Coturnix japonica: one gene and its partners. The protein of the gene in region 2 interacts with the protein of the main gene of each other region in a pairwise test. Links are inferred from orthologs where the notes say so. Each region holds a gene or a part of one and is shown on either strand. Other genes may lie near its edges.

Region 1 (5,032 bases), on a different chromosome or scaffold from region 2:
ACAGACAGACAGACAGACAGACAGACAGACATCATACTGAGGGTGCTCCAGCAGCTCCCTCCCTCCCCACAGCCCTCCCAATTAATTTCTCAAGGGAGTGGGAGGAGCCCATGAGCCACATTAATTAATGAGGCAGAGGAACCTGGTCTCCAGGAACCATATGGAGGCAGTTTTTAATGTTCAGCCATCCACCACTGCCTGCACCCGGCCAGAAGCAGCTGGGAGTCACGGGAGCGGGGTGAGAACAGAGTCCAGTTTGTCTGCAGCTGCCCCACAAAGGGGACGGACAGACAGACAGACTGACCCACCAGTCCCAGCATGGCCTGGGGGCTGAGCTGTGGGCTCCAACCTCTCCTGAAGGGCTCATCCTGCATGGAGCAGGCACGGGTGGGGAGGAATCAGGGCATGGGCACCCCAGGGCTGCTTATAGAGCCTCCAAGTTGGGTGGTTTGGCAGTTACCTCCTGTGAAAGGTAGGGCAGAACCTGCGCACAGATCCCATTGAGCCTCTTGACAATTTCAGCCTGGAGAGGGGAAGAAAAAGAAACCAAGAAACAAACAACAGAGAGGAATAGTGTGAGGGGACCCACAGCACCTGGTTTAGGCAAACACTGGGAGATGGCAGTGAGGAGCCACGGCTCAAGTCCTGCAGCTCAGCCAATAGATTTCCCTCCCGAGGTGATGGGATCAGAGGCTCTGGGTGTGTTTGAAGGGAGCAGAACGGCGCTAAGAGGCTTTGAGCTGAGCTGGGACACGTTCAGATAACCGTGACCGAGAGCTCAAGGAGCTCACGTTGTGAACAGCAGGTAATTAACCACTGCAGATCCTGAGCAGCTGAACCACCAGCAAGGGGAACAGGCAGACTCAGCCAGGCTACAGCAGAGCCTCCACCACGAGGTGCCCAGCACTGACTGCACCCAGCCCAGCTCAGAGCCAGAGCACCCCCAGCCGGGTCCCCCCTTCCAGAAGGGTTTGGAAAAGCAGCTCATGGCCACAATGATTATTTTTTTTTCCCCTCCCTGCATGAAAAGACGTTTTTATAAGGTCATGGGGTGGAAAAAATGTGAAGGTGCTCCCCAATGCCAGAGCTGGAGATCCCAAAATCAGTGCTGACGTTTGACATCCTGAAATGCCACTGAAGGGACAGAAGGCACAGCAGGCAGCCCACCCCCCCCAATACCTGTTTGTGCATCTCAATATTCAGCCCGTAGGACATCTCGTAGTACTGCGGAGTGGGGAAGAAGAGAACAAACAGACACGATGAGGACTCCAGCATGCAAAGAGACCCCCACATCTGTACCTTCCTGCTGCCCCCAGCCCAGGTGGGACCTCAACTAACCCAGAGCCCACTCAGCACCTTCACAGAGCCCTGGCATCACAGGGAGAGCTCAGTGCTCTGCTGGGAACAGGCACAGCCCGGCTCTGTTTGCTGTGCCTGGCCCATCTCCTAACGCCCACGTGGCTGCTCCGGCAGCAAATGGAAGGGCTCAGCCCTGTGCTCCAGCTGCACACAGCTCCAGCTGCTTGGGAAGGAGCTGCAGGAAACACACACGCAAAATAACCCACCCCCCTCACACAACAGGCAGCTCCAGTGCAAGCTATTGGCACGGGAAGTCAATTCCTGAGCACTCCAAGTTTGCTCAAGCAGCAGAGCAGCTCTGCACACAGACAGCAGCTCCCTGCTCACACCCTGCATGTCCATCCTGCACCCACCGACCCAGCACACACACAGGGTGCAGAGCACGAGGAGCTCTGTTTGTTTGCACGAGGAGCCCTGTGTGCACGAGGAGCCCCGTTTGCACGAGCCCAGCAGCAGCAGCACCTGCTCCCCACCCACGCGCTGCCCCGGCAGCTCCTCACCATGACGTAGTGACGCTGCATCTCCGATTTCTCGCTGGCGAGTTTGTCGCATTCCAACTTCAAGCTGCAAAGGCAGAAAGCAGTGAGAGAAGCAGCAGGGCAGCGGGTTGCATCCTGGGTTGCATCCTGCAGGGTCCATCCCAGCCTGTTGTGTGCCCAGTGCAGCTCAGCAAAGCAACCAGATCCTCCTATACTGGGGAAGCCCAGGTGCAGTGCAGGCCTCTGGAATGATGCCTTTTCCCCCTTTCCTTTGGGTTCTTTGCACCCTTAAGAGCAGACGTGCTGCTCGCTGTGCTCTGTGCAGCTCCCCAGCCCGGCAGCTGCAAGCAGCATGTGCTGGTTTTATGTTTCAAACAAGAAACAGCTTCACCTCCACCAAACCTGCTGCTCTGTGAGCAGATCGGGTCCTGCAAGGGGGGGCCACAATGCTGCACGATGCAGAGCTCGGGGAGGTGGGAGCAATAGGGAAAGGGCAACACACGGAGCAATGGTTTGGTGCATGCGTGCAGCTAGGAAGCAAACAGCAAGAGAGCCCATCGGCAGCCAGCTTTTGGGTCAGCAGAAGCCATTCCGCAGGCGGAAAAGCGGAAGCATTTGGCTTTAAGTGCTCCCTGCAGCATTTGTGAGCCAAGAATGGCAGCCAGCAGGGAGAGGGGAGGAAAACTCCCAGCGAGAGGAGGGAGGGCTGGAAGAGCTGCACATGGATGGAGGGATGGAAGAGCTGCACATGGATGGAGGGATGAAAGAGCAGCACATGGATGGAGGGATGGAAGAGCTGCACAGGGATGGAGGGATGGAAGAGCTGCACAGGGATGGAGGGATGGAAGAGCAGCACATGGATGGAGGGATGGAAGAGCTGCACAGGGATGGAGGGATGGAAGAGCTGTGCATGGATGGAGGGATGGAAGAGCTGCACAGGGATGGAGGGATGGAAGAGCTGTGCATGGATGGAGGGATGGAAGAGCTGTGCATGGATGGAGGGATGGAAGAGCTGTGCATGGAGTCCTGCATTGGGGTAAGACCTGGCTGTGGGGGAGGCAGAGCGTTCTCCTTCCTTCTCCTTCCAGAATCCCACCTTTTGGGCAGTGAGCAGAGCGTTCCCTGCCTGGATTGCAGCTTTTGGCCAACTCTGGGCCGAACTGCGTGGCCAAAGGAAAGGAAGGCAGCAATGGGTGCACACCGGGCGTCCCCCCCCCCTCCTTGGGATGCTCACATCGGTCCTCCAGGTGGGACCTGGAGGTGATACCGGCCTGGGGAGGCTGAGCCTGGGGGTAAACCTGTGCTGGGCTGGGAGGGCAGCGCGTCGTGCCGCACGGAGCCCATCTCTTGGCCACGCTGCGTCCCGGTCCGTGCAGGGCAGCGATGCCAAAGCGGAGGATCCCAGCTCCGGGCGCACTGCGGACCCCCCCGGGATGCTCGGGGCGGTCGGTGGGGGCGGTACCGGCACGTACCTGTGATACTGGGCCTGCAGGAGCTGGAACTCGTCCTTGATGCGGTCGCACGAGTCGGAGGTGGTGAACTTGAGCTGCTGCGGCAGGTGAGAGGAGCCCTTGAACAACACACACAGCGCTGCACACCCAATGGGGGGCCCGCAGCCCTGCCCGCCCCCCCACCGCAGCCCGCCGCCGCCCAAGGTCACCCGCACCCCCCGCTCCGGTTCCCGGTGGCTGCGGGCGGGCAGGGGGCGGCTCTCGGTGCTCCCCCCCGTCCTTCCCTCCTTCCTTCCTTCCTTCCTTCCTCGCTCCTCCCGGTGCCGCCGTACCGAGTGTCGGCTTTGTGGAAACATCATGTCAGGCTGCAGCCCGTTCCACCGCCCGCAGCGGTCCCCTCGCCCCGCTCCGCTCCGCTCCGCTCCGCTCCGCTCCGTTCCGTTCTTTCCCCGTCCGCCTTTGTCCGCGCCGGGCCCGGCCCCGCGGCCGCCCCGCGCCGCTGTGCCCCGAGCCGCCGCCTATTGTCTAATGGCGGCTGCGATCCGCTCCGTCCTGCGGCTGCTCGGCACCACCTGCCGCCCCGCCGCCGCCTCCCCGGGCCGGGCGGGCCCACGGCCGTCTCCGCCCCCGCCGCGATCCGGGCGGTGCGGGGCGCTCAGCTGCTCCCCCCCCCCCCAATTCCCCCCCCCCCCCCCCCCTCGCCCCCCCCCCCCCCCCCCGGGATCGGGGGGGGGGGGGGCGCCCAGCTGCCCCCCCCCCCCCAATTCCTTCCTACCCCCCCCAGCCGTGATGCTCTGCCCCCCCCACGCCCACCCATCCCGACCCGGTGCCGCTCAGACCCCGCTCCGTGGGACCCTCCGTGGGTCTGGGGTCTGCGCTGTGTCCCAGAGCCCCGCACCTGCTGCGGGCATCGTGGGTGCGAGAAGGGCTTAGAGTGGGGTCGGCCTTAAAGGGCATCCAGTTCTCCCCATCACCATATTGCTATCAGGCAGGTAAAAGTCACTCCCCCTCCTCCCTGTAAGCCCCCTCCCCAAGTACTGGAGGGCTGCAGTGAGGTCTCCCCGGAGCCTCCATGGCTGCTCCATCAGCACGTTTCCATAGCAGAGGATCTTTGGTGCTCAGAGCTCAGAGCATCCCACAGCCTGATCCCAGACCTGGATGCATCACTGCAGGTGGGTCCCCACAAGGGCTGAGCAGACGGGACAGTCCCCTCCCTGCCCTCTGCCCCCCCATAGTTGCAGCGCAGGGGGGTCTGTAGGACCACCACGACCACAGATCCCAAGCTATGACCATCCAACCACTTCCTTACCCACCAAACAGCCCACCCTTCAAACCCACCTCTCTCCTATTGAGAGAAATGGGCACAGTGTGGGGCCGTGCAAAGGCCCTGCACAACTGCAGCCTGTGCCCTTCCTTTGTCCACCAATGCCATCAATGGAGGCCACCAGATGGGCCAGACACGTCTGCCCTTGGCGTTCCTTGTTCACCTATTGCTTATGGTTCTTGATGTGATGCTGCAGGAGCTGAGCACCCCAGCAGTGTGGAGCTCACCATCACAATTTGGGGCTCACTATCACAGTACAGGACTCACCATTGCAATATGGGGCTCACCATTGCATTATGGGGCTCACCATCACATTGCATGCCCCAGTATCACAGTGCAAGGCTCACCATCACAGTGCAGACCCCACCATTGCAATGCAGGGCTCAGTTTTTGACTTGCAATGCCCACAGCAAAGCATT
Region 2 (6,256 bases):
CTCAGAAGAAAACTCAGAGGATTGATCCCATGCTTTGATTACCCCACAAAACTCGCCAACCTACCAGCAAGTGCTCCATTCGCCTTTAGCAGAGGGAGGTGCTGTAGAAGTTTCTGCAACTCAGGAAGGTACAGTATGTGCCTAACCACTGCCTCATTATTTCATTTAAGAGAATTCAAATCTGAGACACCAACAGCGCTCCTCTGTTATATTTTTAATACTTTCAGCATAGTTACATTTTGTTAAGGTGATATGCATCTCAAGAGAGCAAAAATAATTCTGGAATTTAAATAAGTATATAAGAAATTGACAGTTCGCAGAAGCAGAAGTTTCCTGTTGTAGGACTCAAGCTGTCATAATTACAGAAATTGCAATTTCTATGCCAATGGATGTTCCACTCTCTTCTTCACCTCATTGGAAGATGCTGTCAGAAGTACAATGACTTGGTTTGGCTTAACAGGACAAAGTAAAATTAACAGGCATGCGGAAAGCAACTAAGAAACTGATCAACCCATGGGCTATAATAAAATTACTGAGAAACAGGTAATTCTCACCATTATGTTTATTTAAAAAAAGCTATTGCAGGGTCTGAAAGCAGGTACTTCTAGTACCTAGAAGGATGGAATACTTTCAGAAAAGGAAAAAATATATATATTCTTCCCTGCCTTTCCCTTAGAAATATGGGAAGCTTATTTCTATGTATGAGACTCAATACCCATAGCAACCTGAAGGCTGCAAAGTGATGGAAATGGGAAGTTCGCTCTTCCTCTCCACACAACAAAGCATAATAGTCTAGAAAGACTAAGAAATCCAGATCCTGCTTGAAGAATCTGGCAAACACAGCACACTCACCTTCTGGAGGCTGGACAGGGCACAGGGCCGTGGCTTTTCACCCAGCTCTGCATGCTGCATTGCTCTCTGGCCTTGCCCCCACCCTGAGTCTGGTCCTGCTAGATATCCAGTGGCTGAAAATGTCTATCTAGGAATTCTTTCTGACTCTTTCAAAACAGTGAGTTCAGACACAAGCATTCAATTACTCTTGAAAGTTCTATATGCAATGCATTAAGTAAAAAAATGATTTCGTTTTTAAAAGTTCCAATTGTTTGGAAGCAAGTTAGAGATGAGCCCCAGACAGACTTGTTCAGAACAAGCTTAAAGAAAGTGAAAAGGCCAATGCAGCGCTGGAACTTACAGTGGTGTACCAGTAATAAAACAAGCAAGTCACACCAGTGCTCAAAAGGGTGTTCGTCATTTATATCATCATAACCAGAAACTTTCTTTATCACATTCCTGATCAAAAATAATGCTGGAATATGAAAATCTAGTAAATACAGCGCACTGTCCAATTAAGTAACTCTTGCTTTTCATGGAGATCAATGCAGACCTAAATATGTTTTTATACAGTAACAAGTAAATGAAGCAATCAGATTTTATAGAACTACTTTGTTGCAGTTTAGACTGAGAACTTGGTATCAGAATGCAGCACTAGTACACAAAGGCCTGCAGAAACAGTATACAATTTAACTTCTGATTAACATTGTATCAAATCCCACAAAAATCTCCTCCTAAATAACAGCCTGTATTAGCCCCCTCTTCGGGAAGTACAACAGAGAAGTAACTATGTTTTCTACGGTACTGAGAAGAGCTACCTGGAAAGCAAAGTTATTTGATATTGGCAGTAACAGAAGCTGATCAAACTGTCTTACTTGTGCACTTACACTTAAAACTTTCCAAAAATACATACTAATATTCTTATATAAAGTGAAATAATCACAGAGAAGGAGCTGAACTGTCGTACTATGCAGGTGAAAATCGTTCTTTACATGTTTCTTCTTGCAATATCCAAGCAGTAGCTTTTCATCTTTCATTGCTGCAGTTCTATTTTACTACATATTTCCAATATTTCCCAGTGACTTGTCACAAAATTTTAAGCTGATGTGCTCTGATATGCTGCTATAATACAGACTTCAGAGAACCTTAACAATTCATTTAACATTCTCTGTTGCTGAAGTAACTGAGCTCTGCAAGTATCAAGAACAATTTGTATAATGAACCACCAACATTCAAGGAATGCTTTTCACTTCATAAGTAGAATCCAAATGAGTTGCAAACACCACAGCTCTCTGACTCTGACCTGTCAGTCCCAACATGTAAGAGATTACTGTTCCATTATTCTCCAGCTGCTATGTAACTGTCAATGGAGGCAGAGATAGAACACATTCATCTTATAGCACTGAACTTCAAATTCTTTAAAAAACTGACCAACGCCTCTGCTTTTTGCAACAATTTATGTACCTGACAATAAAATAACCTCTCAGCACCAATTGAGCTTGTCTACTGACAAATACATGCCAGTGTCATTCCTGCAAGCACTGATTGCTGTGCTGCCTATCATTCAGTAGATCAAACTCAGATCTCAGTCATACACTGAGTCCCTGTCAGGAGACCTCAAGAATATCCATGATAAACCCTTCTGTCAGCAACGGAACATTAAAAGATTACAGTAGAACTAGTCGATCTTCTGGAAGATTTTCTGACTTTCTGGAAGATGATTCTCACACGCATTCCCAACGTGCACATCTCCACCAAATCCAAGCTTGCATAAAATATGTAATTTAGACTGAATTGGGTATATTGATTTTTGGAATTACTATTATTGGAAACAAAATCCCCAGTGATGTTAGTTGTATCCATTTCCCTTCCTTGCAGAAGGAAGACAAACAAAATAGCTTTGGGTATTTATCCCAATGAAGAGTTTATGCAGTTCTGGCACGGAGAACGTAGGGTGAGTTCTCCATCAGATTTGTTACAAGGACACTCACGTCACTCAATCCAGCATCTCCTCAAGTTGGACTCCTCTGCAACGTCACCTTGCAGTCTCTCTGCCAACCCCAATAGCCTAAGCCTACCATCATCACCTAGCTATGGTCCTCCGCTCCCCACTTGTTTCACATCTTTATTTTTCCAGTCAGTGATCCCATACTGCACCTCACAGTCAGCACCACAACACAATTTCTGCCTTCTGTTCTCACCTCCCTCTTACATCCCTGTGTTGCCGCGATGCTTGGACAAATTGCCAACAACTGCGGTGTGCTGCACAGCGGCCAGAACCCGGTGGGCTGACCAACCCAGCCTCACTCCCTGCTTTCCCTCACCAGCTGGCTGCCCTCGGCTCAGGCTGCCTTTATATGCCAGCTATGGGAAGACCCCCCTCTTTCCATTCTCTGCATGAAATATCACAGAATCTTGCTCTGCAATTTTTACTGAAACAATAAAAGTGGAGCTGTTCAATACAGATTTTATAATCCTTGGTTTACAAGAAGAGAACAGTAAAAGGTCGTGGGGAGAGCAAAACAACAAGCTAAATGCACCTCTTCCTATCCGGTTCTGCCATTCACAGCTCCTCTTCCAGAAAAAGCCCCATTTCCTTCTTTTTAAAACAGCACAAACATTAATGTCAGTTTATGACTACAACAAAATACTTCAGCGCGTTTCTCTTAAAGAACATAAGTCACGCTAATTCAGCGTATGAAACCTTATTAATCGCATCGCTGTTCGGTAAATGACCCCAGATCCGCAGACATTTCCCACTAGAGGTCGGCTGGTCGCTCAGCATCCCACACAGCGCACCCCCAATGCTTCCCCCTCGTGTCGCCCACCCGGGCACGGCCCGCTCCCCCTGCCATCACACAAGCGCTCTCGGGGACGGAAGGCACAAGCTCCGGGAGCCCTCTCACTGCACTCAGCACCGACACCACGGCGGAACGACCCGCGGCCGTTACTGATGCTGCCGTCCTGTTTTTGTTCCGCCTCACCGAGGAGCACGATGCGGCCCGGGCCCGGCGCAACGCGGAGCGGGGGAGGAAGCGCCGCTGCCGCCGCTCAGCACCGCGCCACGCGGACGGCGACCGCCAGGGCCGACCGCTATGCTCGGCCGTCGGGCCCCGCCCCGCCGCACCTGGATGTAGTTGGTCTCGCAGTACTCGGCCACCCGCTCCAGGTTCGTGTAGCTGTCGAACAGGGCCCGGCGCCCCCCGGGGATCTCCTCCTCCAGCAGCATCTGCAGCTCCGCCATCTTCACATCCTCTCACCCCACGACCGTCCGCTCGTCTGCCCGTCCTCCCTCCTGCACCTCCCTCCCGTCCTCCCTCCGCTCCGCTCCCTCTCTCCGCTCCCCGCCGCCAGGCCCGGCCTCGCGCCGCGGGCAGGAGCGCGCCGGACCCCCACCGCACCGGGGGCGGGGCGCGGCCGGCGGCTCCTCCTGCGCATGTCCCAGCAGCCCTAATCATGGCCCCGTGCGCCCACTGCCGGCACGGAGGAGCTGGGACGGGGCTGCGGGACATGAATGGAGCCGGAGCTGGAGCAGGAGCCGGAGCGACCCCCTGACCCTGCAGTGGCCCCTTCCAGTGACTTGGAGCATATGAGAAAAGGCCTCGTCTTTACTATGTGTGTGCGCAGCTGACCAGCTGGACTAACCTGCCTGCATCATTAGCTGCTTGTTATCACAGCATGTTTATGTTTTAATAGGGGACTCTTTCATGGATTTAAATTTAAAGATGAAGAGCCCTCCTGGCAGAGTGATGGTTATCCTATAATTCTCTGTACGCGTGCTGAAAATGATTAGAAGCAGTGTTTAAATTAGACCAAGTGAATCCAACTACCACTTTCCTACATTTACATAATCGACTCCCCATCTGCCAAGCGATGTGCTAAACTAATTTTAAGTCCTTATGCTCTCTGAGCCCCAGTTACAGCATTCCACACATTAACTTCTCCTTCTTTCTTTTGTGCAGTACCTTCCCTTGGTACAACAGCTTCAAGACTGGGAAGCAAATGTATTTCCCACCTAAATATACTGAGAAAACAATATCCCTAGGAACAAGCAAGGTAAGCATGTCGCTTACTCCAAGTTCCCTCACACGCATCAGATTTTTACCTCTGCCCATTACCCAAGGGAGTCCCTGCGCACAAAAACGCCCAGACAAGCAAATCATTTGGTCACGTGCAATCTCGTAGCTGGGCACTCTGTGTGTCCTACATACCACAGTCTGAATTACCAATTCTTAATTAGAGAAAAGTAATAACGGGGTAGCTTGGAGGCCACTGTTTTTGGCACCATGGGTAGGCATTGCAATCAAAAGCCTCTTCTGTTTTCTTTGCTATATGGAAGACAGAACGGCACAATCCCTGATCCCATTTGGACAGATGACCTGGTTGGATCTCTGACACACCATGCTGCAGGTTTTCACTTAATTTGTGTAAGGATCTCTGTTCTGGCTTTATGACATTCTCATTTCTGAACATTTTTTCCCTCACAAAAAAAACAAAAAACAAAAAACAACCCAAATTCCATGTTTTGTATACAGCAGAAACAAAACCCCCACTGTATCACATTGAGCCAAGCAGATCTGCGTCTGCACAATGGGCAAAGCACTTTGACAGCAAACATGGGCATGTGAACTGACCATAATACAAACAGGCCCATGCCCTAAAGCTGGCAGGTAGCATTTACTGCAGGAATGGGGAAAGAGGAAAAAATGGGGGAATGAAAAAAAATTATCTGTAGCTGAAATATATACTTTTGCTCCCTCAACAAAGACAGAGTTGTGCCATCCTGGTCTGTTTAGATAGCGTTGATCTGCCTCTGGCTGGATGCAGACCTTTGCTAGCCTCATAATGCAAAGCACCCAAAGGGAACAGCAGCACATTTAACACTCGAGGCTCTGCCACAATCTCAGGATGGCCTGCTACAGAATGAGGCTCATACACATCCAGTGCCCACAACAAACGCTGTCAGGATCCTGTGGCATCTTGGGCACTCAGCCGCCAGCCCCTGCTGTGAAACAGTGAAGAACCCACACACTCTGCAGCTGCACATTCTCCTCCTGCTTCCGCAGGCATTCACCAATTTGCTGGGCAATCAAGATCGTAACCACAGATAATCTTTCTGCTCATGATAAACTGCTGCTGGGTAAAATACCGACTGTACACAGGACACAAGTTACCTGTGGGGTAGTTCACATCTCATGGAAGTGCTTGCACTAACACCACTAGTTCAGAAACAGGCAGAGGCAGTGCATGACTGACATCCATCACCTCACAGCACCTCCGGAGAGGCACAGGACACACTGCAGACATTCCGTCTTTCTGTTCTCGGCCGTGTCTCATTCTAAATATCAAGCCTTTTTTTTCTAGGAATTCAAGTTCTCTCTTGAACGTTATTTCAGCATAGCATTGTGTGAGAAGGATGGAGCCA
Region 3 (4,783 bases), on a different chromosome or scaffold from region 2:
TCTTTCCTGCTCCCTCTGTCATTAAATGTATCGTTAACTTTGCGAGCTAAACATATTTTGCAACAAGCACCTTTTCCTACTGCTATGAAACATTCACCAGGAAGTTCATTTGAAATATTGCAAAACTGTGAACCTTATAAGACTCAGATAGTCTGCCAGGGTAAATCTTGGAAAACTTTAATTAAAAACAAAACAAACAACAAACAAACCCAAAAGGTCACGGCAAACTTACGTACTCTAAAACACCTCAGAACTGCAAAATCACTCAAATGAAGAGTTTGGCAAAATTTGCAGACCCAGTCAGTAACTGCAAGAAAAGAAACACACCCACCAGAACCTGAAATTGACCAAATTCTAACTCTGTTGAGATATCAATGGGCACCACTGTCATTAGACTACCCCTAAGGCTGTTAATACCACAGCTATGCTCAGGCAGCCTGTGCAACATGGACAAAATATGGCCCACATCACCCGCACAAACAGCCTGAGCCAGCACTGCTGCCAAGAGATGGTTGTGTACGACCAGGAAAACTTCCTGCAGCATTGCAGCACACGGTGATGATCAGATGCACTCAGTCATGTAAGCAGCACGAGCACAGCCTGCAGCCCTTACAGAACATCTCTGCAGACCACAGACCTGGGAATGTTACCAAACTCTATGGGACAGCTCAAATTAAATGCACAATGTTCCTCACATCCGTTAACCAGCCTGGATTAGACTCAAAACAAGATAGAATCTAGAAGCAGCAGAGCACGCAGCTCGCAGTGAGGTGAGCAGCAGCGCTGCAGTGTGACCCGCAGGGTGCAGCTCTCGGGGATGCACCACCCGACCAGCACGGGCTGTTCCTAAACGCTGCTCGCAGTGAAATCACTGCAGGGGACAAAGTTCCCATTGGTTTTGTGCTTGCAAAATCCTACTGACTGCCCACACACACACACGGTACCTGGGAACTCAGCGCTGCATTTTCCTCCTCCAATGCAACGCGCTCCTCCCCTTATTGCTCAGTCCCACTGTCCTCAAACACTTCTGTCGGTTTGCTTCTCCTTGTTTGCTTTCTCTTCTCTGCCCTTCTCACACCAGCCCCGCTCTGGTCCATATTAGTAATGACAGATGTCGCTTCAAGTGCACTAACACAGTTACAGGCACGAGAAGCACACGCGGGGGTGTAAATTCTGAGGCCTGGGGGGCAAGCAACCAGGTGGCAGGGAAAGGTGAAGAACTGTGCAGAACAAAGGGGGGAAACGATAAAAACACGTGTTTGCCAGATACAGAGTGCAGCAGTGATATGTGCCTTCACTTATTGACGCACATGAGCTGCCCACAGCCCGCCCCGCACGCGGAGCGCAGCCAGCAGCCGCACCGCCCACAACATGGCGGCCGGGGAGTAACGCCCACAACATGGCGGCCGCCGGTGTCCGGAGCGCCCCGTTGTGCCCCGTGCCGGCGGCGCGGTCCAGCTGATCGGCTGGTTCTGGTTCTCAGCTCGGGATGGAGCTGGGCAGGTTGGAGTACCTGCAGGCCCTCGTCACGGAGTTCCAGGTGACAGACAGCCCAGGTAACCCCGCGTACAAAAGCGAAATCTCCATCTACCACAGCCCCCCTTGCCCCGTTTGACGCGTTGCTTCCCCGGCAGAGGCCAGGCGGCAGGTGCTGGCCAACCTGGCCAACTTCGCCTACGACCCCAAGAACTACGAGTATCTGCGGCAGCTCCAGGTGCTGGACCTGTTCCTCGACATGCTGACGGAGGACGACGAGACCCTGGTGGAATTCGCTATGGGTGAGCACAGCGCTGGGTGCGCCCCGATGCTTTCCCTGTTTCTCTAAAACACAGGTAACAAACCGGGGAAAATGAAAATAAACGCTGCAGCCACACGGCGCCATAAATGCCATCACTGCACTGAGATGGACAGGAGAAAATAAAAGGCAACGTAGGGCAATTAAAAACCCATCATTTAATTCCTGGTACCTTGAAGACCGATTGCCCCCTTACCACACAGGGAAACTGTCTGTGCATGTTGCCTTAAGAAAAGTAGTAAAGATGGAGTGTCCGTCTGCGGACAACTCAGTGCCGGCACCACACAGGTCAGGGCCCAACTGCTGGTACCAACAGACGGAACGTGCTCCAGCTGCTGCCATTCATTCCCAGATGAGGTGCCCTTCAGAGCATGGAGTGTGTCCGGATGAGGCTGCAGAAAGAATCTGTCTTGCATGTGTCAGATGCTTTTTTCGCTATTTCAGGTGGTCTTTGCAACCTGTGCTTGGATAAAACTAACAAAGACTATATCCTGGAGGCCAATGGGGTAGAGCCCATAATAAACTGCCTCTCCAGCTCCAACGAAGAGACAGTCATGTCAGCAGTCACAGCCCTGATGTATCTGACAACGCCGCAGTCGTGCCAGCAGACCACAGCTCTCCCGGTGGTGGAATGCATGCTTCGCTTCTCCCTGTCGGCCAGCAGAAGGCTGAGCAATCTGGCCACGATCTTCCTGGAGGATTATTGCACGCCCCTGCAGGTGGAAGAGGCCAGGAACCTGAGCAAACACACAGCGGTGGGGATTCCTCTCCCGAAGGATTGAAGCTGTCAGAGCAGCTTGGAGCTGCTGCGAGGAGCACCCCCTGTTTGCTCAGGTCTGCACCTAATGCTGAGTAGGTCAAGAGTGTGATGAGAACAGTAAAGCAGGAAATCAGACTAGCATTGGATTTTAGTTAGTATTGAAAAGGACCATACAGCACTATAACAGGCCAAGAACGTGGCTGAAAATGGAAGCAAATATTTTAAATAAAAAAGGTGATGGCTGCTGTGCAGCTCTGAACCAGCTTACAGGTATAACCCTTATAGCAGTTACTTTCTCTGCTCGGGTTATTGTTCAGCTTGTATCACTTCCAGTTCCTGGCTGATTTTGCCACAGCTTTCCAGTGTCAACTCAGATGACTTTGAAATGACCCAAACTTCATCCCTCCTGCAGAAGAAATGCGTTTCCCTGCCCTGGTAATTTGCAATCCTATTACATACCTTTGGTACTATACATACTGTCTTATCATCCTGCCCTAGAACAGGTGATAGCTATCCCATAGGTCAGGAAGCAGAAAGCTGTATTTCCCTCATTACCACTGGTGAGAAAGGTGCAGGTAGGAAAAGGGTTTATGGCATTCAGGTTCACAAGAAAAGCCTTTTCTTAATAAAACATTAACGGAGCTGTTGTGTAAACAGTTCTGTGTAAGCTCGTAAATGTTCCTGTACAGCTCTTGCAGCGCAGCCTCTGCTGCTCCCACTAATGCACGTGGGCTGGGAGTTGGAGCCACTTTGCTCTCCTTTTATGATCAGCCAATCGTGCAAAAGGTAACCTGGAGCCAGGGCGGCAAACTGCCCAAAGGCATAGAACGGGGTGGCCCTTTACCACGGTGCTTCTGAAAGGCTGCGAGTTCCAGAGTTCTGCTTTCTCCCCCTCCACTCAGCTCAAAACACGCCATAGTGAGCTTACACCACAGCTGGCTGTTTGTCTTTATAGTTATTCTTCATAACATCACTGCGGCTCCGGCCGCACCAGGACGAGGCACCGTGAGGTGAACCCCGCAACCCCCGCATGAAGCCGAGCGGCCCCTGGCGGCACCACGGCCCCGAGTGGAACCTCCGGCCACAAGCGGGTGGAACTGCCGGCCTGGCCTTAGTGCGGGGCCAGGCGGCTCCGCTGTGCGCTGCGGGAACCTTCATCGGACGGCTGGGCGCGCTCCAACTGCACTCAGTGTTTAGGAGCTGTAGCCTGCTCCGCTGCTCGCTTCTTTCATAAAGCAGATGTTGGACACTTCACACGGAGGCAGCACGTGGTGGTGCCCCATCAGCTGCACTCACGCTCCTGTTCCGCTCCATCCCAGCCCTCTCCATTAGTGCAGGACAACTGAGAGCAGTGCAGAACCAGACCCACAAATAAAACCCACGCAGGAAACATTGCTTCAAAATGTCTATATTATTTACTGTAAGCAACAGTCCAGCTTCGTGAAATTACAACACACACTTTTAAGGATGAGGCTTTCACCCCATGGTCAAGCACCAGCATGATCATGCACAGCATTGAATCAGTTCTAAAAAAAAGAAAAAACCGCCCCGGAATTTGTTCTTTATTTCTACGATCCACTCCACCTTCACCGAACAAAGCCCAGTCAATGCCCTCCCAGCCTCAGGCCAGGTGACGCTGCTCATCAGCCACTATTTGGCACATACCCTGCTTAAAATGGTCCAGTATCAATGTATTGTAAAGGCAGCATGGTGTACACTAACCACTTCAAATGGCACAGCAGGGCTCAAGGCATTCACCCCACACAGACAAGGAGTTCCTTTGGATCCCCACAGTTCACATGTGGAAGAAGGGATGGCTCTTGCTGATCGTTTGCTGGCCTCTTTAACCACGTCTCTCGACCCTCGTACAGCGAAGGGGTTCTACAAACCTCAGGACAGAAACCCTCTAAGCACACTTAGGACCAATCTACTCTCCTTTCAATTACATTACTATACTTCATAAAGCTTTCCCTCAAGTCTATCACTAGAAAACACTCATGTAACTTCCAGCAGATCTAGGGGAAAAACACAGGACAAAAGTGGGAAAAAACCTTGATCTCAAAAGACAGGGGAAAAAAAAAAAAAAAAAAAGATGGAGTACATAAAGTGCTTCTTTTTAATTGAAAGAAATTCGAGATGTACAGTCAGGCTCACGAGCATGGGGGGGGAGAAGGGCAAGAAACAGACACAAGTTCAAAACAGTCAGGAAAGGAAAGGAAAGGTTTAAC

What was found. The genes of interacting proteins can lie anywhere in the genome.
Region 1: the proteins of ABI2 (region 2) and TLE family member 5 interact in binary tests that used the Homo sapiens proteins (3 or more experiments, as listed by UniProt). The link is inferred for Coturnix japonica from reciprocal best matches to the Homo sapiens genes ABI2 and TLE5.
Region 3: the proteins of ABI2 (region 2) and ARMC7 interact in binary tests that used the Homo sapiens proteins (3 or more experiments, as listed by UniProt). The link is inferred for Coturnix japonica from reciprocal best matches to the Homo sapiens genes ABI2 and ARMC7.

The regions. Positions count from the first base shown.
Region 1 is NC_029543.1:644,224-649,255, forward strand, and holds the start of TLE family member 5, read right to left. Parts: upstream 3,875-5,032; 5' UTR 3,649-3,874; coding exon 3,622-3,648; intron 3,409-3,621; coding exon 3,311-3,408; intron 1,924-3,310; coding exon 1,860-1,923; intron 1,225-1,859; coding exon 1,180-1,224; intron 524-1,179; coding exon 461-523; intron 1-460. UniProt on the Homo sapiens protein: Transcriptional corepressor. Acts as a dominant repressor towards other family members. Inhibits NF-kappa-B-regulated gene expression. May be required for the initiation and maintenance of the differentiated state.
Region 2 is NC_029522.1:11,988,703-11,994,958, forward strand, and holds the start of ABI2 (abl interactor 2), read right to left. Parts: upstream 4,108-6,256; 5' UTR 4,076-4,107; coding exon 3,959-4,075; intron 1-3,958. UniProt on the Homo sapiens protein: Regulator of actin cytoskeleton dynamics underlying cell motility and adhesion. Functions as a component of the WAVE complex, which activates actin nucleating machinery Arp2/3 to drive lamellipodia formation.
Region 3 is NC_029533.1:9,330,689-9,335,471, forward strand, and holds ARMC7 (armadillo repeat-containing protein 7), read left to right. Parts: upstream 1-1,366; 5' UTR 1,367-1,489; coding exon 1,490-1,556; intron 1,557-1,634; coding exon 1,635-1,778; intron 1,779-2,239; coding exon 2,240-2,577; 3' UTR 2,578-3,209; downstream 3,210-4,783. Other genes in the region: JPT1 (jupiter microtubule associated homolog 1), read right to left, coding at 4,779-4,783. UniProt on the Homo sapiens protein: As a component of the minor spliceosome, involved in the splicing of U12-type introns in pre-mRNAs.